Schizosaccharomyces pombe: one gene and its partner. The gene in region 2 interacts genetically with the main gene of each other region. Each region holds a gene or a part of one and is shown on either strand. Other genes may lie near its edges. The genes, in order: ras1 and byr3.

What was found.
Region 1: of byr3 (region 2) and ras1, a mutation in one rescues a mutant of the other (synthetic rescue), as found in Schizosaccharomyces pombe (2 studies listed by BioGRID, with this or other methods).

What each region holds. Positions count from the first base shown.
Region 1 is NC_003424.3:2,018,630-2,022,578, forward strand, and holds ras1 (GTPase Ras1), read right to left. Parts: upstream 2,003-3,949; 5' UTR 1,860-2,002; coding exon 1,854-1,859; exon of another isoform or gene 1,783-1,853; coding exon 1,129-1,782; 3' UTR 833-1,128; downstream 1-832. Other genes in the region: leu5 (coenzyme A transporter), read left to right, coding at 1-720; protein Ddb1, read right to left, coding at 2,595-3,949. UniProt on the Schizosaccharomyces pombe protein: Participates in the process of sexual differentiation and the determination of cell shape. Essential for mating and for recognition of the mating pheromone, but not for vegetative growth. Does not regulate the intracellular cAMP level.
Region 2 is NC_003424.3:2,246,499-2,250,226, forward strand, and holds byr3 (translational activator, zf-CCHC type zinc finger protein), read right to left. Parts: upstream 2,066-3,728; 5' UTR 1,985-2,065; coding exon 1,445-1,984; 3' UTR 731-1,444; downstream 1-730. Other genes in the region: F-box protein Pof14, read left to right, coding at 1-583. UniProt on the Schizosaccharomyces pombe protein: Acts in the sexual differentiation pathway. Is required for efficient conjugation. Double-stranded DNA-binding protein.

The DNA of each region.
Region 1 (3,949 bases), 230 kb from region 2:
AGAGTCTTCCCTTATGCGGGCATTAAATTTGTTGCATACGAACAAGTACGGCGTGTTTTAATTCGTGACCCTGAACATGAAACACATGCTCGGCGATTTTTATCAGGATCACTTGCCGGAACTTGCTCTGTTTTTTTTACATACCCGTTAGAGCTGATTCGTGTTCGTTTAGCCTACATAACCAATACAGGGAAGAATCCTACCCTAACTCAAGTTACAAAAGATATATTTCACGAACGTGATTTTTTGTGCAATAAGAAGTATCCTGGGTTATCCCGTTTGTCAAAAATCTGTAATTTTTATCGTGGATTTTCTGTTACGTTAACTGGAATCTTTCCATATGCTGGTATGTCGTTTCTTGCCTACGATCTTGCAACTGATTTTTTTCATAAACAAAAAATTGACGAATGGGTTTCTACAAAAAAGTCAGATAAAAAACTTAAAACTTGGCCCGAACTACTTTGTGGAGCATTTGCAGGAGTTTGTGGTCAAACGGTTTCTTACCCATTCGAAGTTTGTCGACGAAAAATGCAAATTGGTGGTATCAGAAAAAATAAATCATTTCTTAGACTTAAGCAGGTAGTACAAACTACTTACAAAGAAGCCGGTATGAGAGGTTTTTTCGTTGGACTTACCATAGGTTACATTAAGGTTATCCCAATGGTAAGCACTAGCTTTTTTGTTTACAATCACAGCAAAGCGCTTTTAGGGATAGATTGAGACTGCAGACATAGTTTTCTATGAAAAAAATTATCCCTTTTTTAAAAATTTATAAAAAAAGATCTACGGGATTATAGGTGTATGATATATTCATTAGTTGCAGATTGTTACATCGTGACCATGCAATGAAAGAGATGTATTTTATTAAAACGGAACAAGAAATAGCAACCCAAAGTCAAATAACACGTTTTTTCTAAGTCCACAACTCTGAATTGAATAATTTGCTATCATACTAGCAGCCAAAACTAGATGTGCAAATGGTTCAAAGGGAAAATGAAGTACTTAAAGATAGCTGCTAATAATTGTGTTAAATGAAAAAACAATTATTGAAATGAAAAGAAAGAGATGAAACAAAAGACAGGAACGGTGCATTCACCAAACAGCTCAAATATTCTGCAATAATACTTGCTAACATATAACACAACATTTAGTTGAAACCTCATCTTCGGTTTTACTGTTATTTACAGCGCTAGCTCTTTTAGCAGTTGAAGCTGGAACTTGGGCAGTCTGGACGGCCTGCTTATTCTGAAAACCTTTTTCTTCTGATTTGTTATAGCGACGGATCGTGCGAACCAAACTATAAAAAGCTTCTTCTACATTTAACCTTAGCTTCGCCGAAGTTTCAACATATAAACAATGCATGCTTTTTGCAAGTTGTTCGCCTTCAGCTCTTGAAACTACACGTTCAGCTTCAAGGTCGCATTTATTAGCCACTAAAACGACTGGAAATGTATCCTTATCCTTAACTCTAAGGATTTGTTGATAAAATGTAGAAATTTCGTCAAAAGAGGACCGAGAGGTAATATTATAAACTAATAAAAAACCCTCTCCGGTTCTCATATATTGTTCACGCATAGCGGAATATTCCTCTTGACCGGCCGTGTCCAATACATCTAAAAGCGCACCTTCACCATCAATTTCACACTTTTTCCGATATGAATCTTCGATTGTAGGATCGTATTCGTCAACAAAATGCGATTGAATTAATTGAATTGTCAAAGCACTTTTACCAACACCACCATCTCCTACAACTACCAATTTGTACTCTCTTAAGTAGGTAGACTATAAATATTATCGTTGATTAGTTTGTTGTAATCAATAAAAGATAACCCCAAGTCATTGCTTAGACTTACCCTCATATTCACTATTTTATAAAGCACACTAAGTTTAATCGTATATTTCTTTAGGTTGCTTTTAAAACAAAATACAAAAAGTGTGTAGGCTTGGTAATTAAAAAATATTGGTTGGTCTTAAGCTCGTTAAAATGTGTTTGGCAGTTTTCAAGTAATGCAGTCAACAATTACTGATGGCAAACCGACAAGCTAGTAATAAAGAAATTCAGAAGTTATAATTTTTTAAAGGTATCTGGTGCAATAAAAACGAAATATTAATGTTAACAGCTAATTATGTTAAATCCATCAATAAACATTTGATCTTCTATTAAAATACCAAAAATTCTGCCATTTGTATTTGACAGATATATTGCATTAGTGCTTTGTCTACCTTTAAAAGCATACGAAGTATTGTTTGAAGAATTCCCTATTCAGCCCAACTTAACCAAATTAGCAGCAAATTTAAGTATTGCTTTTGAACTTTCTATACTGAACATTAAATATTTCTTTATTAAAATTAAAAAGCTTCTAAAAATTTTGCTCAAGTGTTCGCAATACATGCATGAAGAGGTCGGCACCATATATTATTTTGTATATGTTAAACTCCTTTCATGCGTTTTATCGACCGTGGAAAGAGATACGATAGTGGAGATTTTCATTCAAAAACATTTTCGTTTGCTATAAATATACAATGAGACATTGATAATTGCATATAGTCTTAAAATTACATTCTAGCGGCAAAAACAGAATTGATAGAAAACGTTAAGGATGTAGTTTCTCAAGATTTTCAATAATACTTTTTAGATCTTGAACAGAAATATCAAGCTTTGTACCCTCATGACCACCATTTACAATTTCATTCAATATAGGTTCACGTAAACCAAGGATGCTCTCAATCAAAGAGCCATCAATTAAATCAGATGGACTGGTCTCATTTTCACCTCGATACTCTTTCCATTCCTTATGACTCAAGCCTCCAAACGAAGGTATAACTTTTCTAATGTTATCCTGCAGCTGTAGTAACAAAGGAGTATTAGACATTCCGGCATCACCCACAATCATGAGGCTGCCGTCAACTGTTGCGCATAACAACTGTGGTGTGACAAGGGATTTATCCTGTGGTTCTATAAATGTGCAGTGCCTAGTTTTATTTATCAATTCACCAAGATAGAACTTTTTGTACCAACGTAACTTTTTTCTATCGGACAATTGAGGAGAGACATTGTCTCTCAAAAGAATCACTGCGTTGCCATCTGCTTCAGTTACAAAGTACTTTCTTTCTGACAAAATTTCAACGGATGTTGCCCACAATGGATGATAGTCTCTGGCAACTTCTATTAGTTGATCATCAATAAATTGTAGAACGGTAATAGACTTCATTAAATCTGCTGCGATGATTTCGTCCTGATTAACGGAAATGTCGATCGTATAAGTAGGTGTCCTAATAGAATTCCTTACGTGCATAGTACCGTGTTCATATTCGAAAATACAGACACTGGCATTAATGCCGGCGACTATCAAATGTTTATACAGAACTAAAGTGTTCACAGATCCCTGGACCTTATGTTCAGCTTGCATTTCGATATTATTATCGGAAGTCATCTCAAAGACCATTAAACGGCCTGAATCTGGGGCATCTTGATCTGGAAAGTTGAAACCTGTGCCCACAACCACACGTTTATCATCATTCATTAAAATGATACTTTCAACCATTTCATATTCATTAAACTTATGATGAGCAATCTCACTTAAAGTGTTTTTTTCGTAAACTCTCAAGAAAGACAATAAACGTTGCTCCTGTGTACCAATCGACTCTTCTAGTTGCATACATAAGACAAAGTAAAACAACGAATTTGAACAAATTCTCCGCGGAAACCCTTTGACAGAAACAGTTTGAACATTTAAGCTTCGAATTTCACTCATTTTAGCAAGAGATATATAACTATTAGTGCAATAAAGCATATTTACTCCTAAGGAAGGGTTCACATAAGAAGATATATTCAACATTTCCGTACAAGAAAGTGGTGTAATTACCAATTTATCTGACTCATAATACATGAGCTGTGGTTTTTCGCCTAAAGCAAATATAGCATTTTTTTCCTTTGAATCAAAGTGTT
Region 2 (3,728 bases):
AAATCCAAATTCGGCTGTAACTTGCTCTGAGTCTATAAACACAAGTGCTGTGGCCAAATTTACCGATATCCCTACAATCATTCCAATTTTTCTTGATCCAAGTTATCAAAGTTATGCAGCAAAGACAATTCATTCTGATACTTCTTCGTTAGCCTCCTCGATCATCCAAACAGGAGATGGAACACAGTCATGCGATGAGTCTACATATATAGAGCTAGCATGCAATCTTGTAGGCCGTTGTGTGCTTTGCAATAGAATACCGAAGTTAACTAAGTTTAAAGATTGCATTACCTCATTTTACCGGCCTTCTGTTGCTACCAATATATGTGATCAATGCTTAGAAGCAATCATTGACTTTTATGAACCTGTAAGTAGATACAAATTTGATGTTATGAAAGATCGTTTAGGGGTGGGATATATAAGCAGGCCTGGTCAAAAATTCCCCTCTTGGTTATCGGAGCATGTTCAATTGGCTAGGGATGAAGAGAAAGCGTTCAAGAGTATTTACCATTCTCAAGGTGAATTTGCAAGAAGTTTATTTCGTTTGTTTCGAGCGCAGTTGGCTGAGTTATGTGAACAATAAAATTTTGGATTAATATACTACGATTTTATGTAATAGACAAATTCGATGTCAAATTTGTATGAAAGTAAAATTGAAGTTAATAAATTTTTTTTTGTCTATGACAACTGTTACATTTATCGTTCACCCGTTTTCAATTACAGTTCATTTTTGAAAAGCAGAGTAAGCAATGCAAGGAAAAAATAATATTAATTAGGCAAATGACCCAGAACCCTTTTGTAAATATTGTTATACAGATACCATGAGAGATTAAGAAGTAGAGAAGTTGTTAATAAGTCAGAGCATTAACATTTACTGTACAAACACATAAGGTAAATTAAGTTACTCAAAAAATACGAAAACGCCAAAACCCATTTCGTAAATGAAATTGATAGTGAGTTGTCATATAAAACCAAAAGTTCCATTAAATAATGGCACTAAAAAAAACAAATCATCCAAATGGACCAAGGAATTTCTATCATTTATAGAATTCCCATATTCCAAATTTTTTTATTTCAAGCTCGTGAATTGAAAATAATAGGAAAAAAATGCCACTACAACAGTAAAAATAAACTGAAACAAAAAGGATTTAATCTATCAACATCCATCTTTTAGCGGTGACGAGAAAACAGGAGAGAAATGAGGTGGTGCATCTCAGGCTTCAGTACAAATATCCTTAAGGATCCGAAGCAAAAATGAATTCAGAAGTGTGCGAAAAAATAAGGACGAAGAGAAGGATGTAAAATTATGCTTTCTATATAACTAAATGCGCAGATCGCTCAAGGGATTTGTAAGAATATGACCACTTGCCAAATTTGAATAAATCGGACAAGAAAAAGAAAAAATATCTTCATACCACGACAAAGGGTTATAAATAGCAAGCACTTATGCCTCAATTACAGGAGAGGTGCAATTGACGGCGATGTGGCCTGGTTGATTACACTTGTAACAAAGTTGACCATCTGAAGCTTGTTGACATTCAAAGCTGCGGTGTCCAATCTTACCACAAGAGTAGCATTTCACGCCCATAGTGCAATCACGGGCTTGATGGCCATAAGAGCCACAAGCATAGCAATTCATGTTGGAGCGATGACCACCAAATCGTCCGCCACTTTGTTGACCATTTGTACGACAGTCTCTAGCAATGTGACCAACACGACCACACTTGTAACATTCCGCACCTTGACGGGGGTTAGGGCTGCTGGGGCAATCACGAACGAGATGTCCGGCGGTACCACAAGCATAGCAAGTTTTTTCCTGTTGAGGCTCAGTGCATTCGCTAGCCTTGTGACCGGTCTGATTGCAATTGTAGCAGATTGAACCCTTGGTGCACTCACGAGCTTGATGACCGTTTTCACCACAGTTATAGCATCGAGGACCGGGACGAGTGGTTTGAGGAACGGTGGGAACAGATTCAGACTCCATCTTAACAACTCCTTTACAATTAAAAAAAATTATTAAAGAAAATTAAGAAAAATAAAAAAAAACAGAAAAAATGTACTTTTTCTCGCTAACCTGACTACACTTCCTTAATAAATAGGAGCGTGTGACTGTCTAAATTTTTCTTAAGTAACAAGCACATGGTGGCACTTGGAAGTAACGAATTTGACAAGCGACTATTTTGGTCTTAAAGATGTCAATAAATAAGAATTTAGTTGTTTTAGACCGACGGAAGAAGCACAACAACTTGCCAATTAAAAAGAGTCATGGAATCGAAGAATTGTTACCGCATACTTGCTTTTTTTTGTGATAGAGAGTGTAATATCTTACATAACTAGTAAGCTCACTCTTTCCCATAAACTCAGGACTTTTTGGTTCTGACAATAGCTTTATATCATAGCAATTATTGCCTCCTCATTGTAATGTAGATTGGTATTCCAAGCGAATATAACCAAACGCTTAGTTACTTTGAATCGTGGTAAATAAGCATCGTTATTTTTCATGGCAAAAAATCGTAGAAACATTGCATTCACAGTATAGCGCCTGAAGAATTGAGTTCAGTCATTTGCAATATATATATTACTGGAATCTATAGTTGTACATATTTTAGGTATCCAGAGTACCACGTGCTTGAATTCAAACAAATCAAAATAAATCCAAAAATTGTTTTGGTAAAAAATAATGCTTTGGCCGGGAATCGAACCCGGGTCGAATCGATGGCAACGATTCATTATACCACTAAACCACCAAAGCTTGTTGAGGTTTCGATAAAAAAAGATTTAATTATATTACGCGACGATATATCAACATAATAATTTTAAATAGATAATTAGGATCTTGGAAATCTTTTTATATTTTTCCTAGACTTTATGAATATAACAAATACGAAATAGAAGGTGAATGGAATAGAAAAAAAGTAATCATTCGACTAAGGAGCAAAGAACTGCTGATTACTTCTTTATTTGAATTTAGCAACCAAGAATTTATTAATGCATGTCGGATTATTAATTTAATTCATGCAGTAAGTGTTTTGCCAAACTATTAATTGCTTATTTTTTTCTCTTTGGAATTCGTTTTGGTAAATAGAAAAGCAAGTAACTTAGTCGCATTTAAATTATTAAATTCAAATCAAATTTTGTACGTTAATTACTATTCCTATTTGTGGCTTAATAAATTTTGTATAATTCCTACATATTTTTTACAATTTATCATTATTATTGGGACACGTTTATTCAAACACTGTTTTTTAGATAATTCATTTCATACTCAAGCACAGATTTATATTAAAAGTTTAACATATACAGAAATGCATGATTATTCCAAATTATTCTAAAAAAAAATATTTTTTTTTTGAAATTTATTCATTTTACAAAATGTTTTTGCTTGACATACTTCATCGATTTCCAATACTTATGCAACCTTTGAACCGTCATTTCACTAACCTACGTGAATAAACTATTAACAAAAATTAGATTAACATTTTAATTTCCAACCCATTCACAGATGTATAGTATCATTTAACAGAAAACCACTTCAATCGATATCAAATTATCACTATTGTCATACTAAGAAACCGTCAATTTTTTTTTTGAAAACAAGTACATTTGACCGCTTTTCGCCCTTGGGAATGACTAGTTCATCGCTTCATTTTATAATTAAACGCAGTAAATTAATAATCGAGACATAAAACACAGAAATTCTTCTACCAGTTAGATTAAAAAAAAAAATC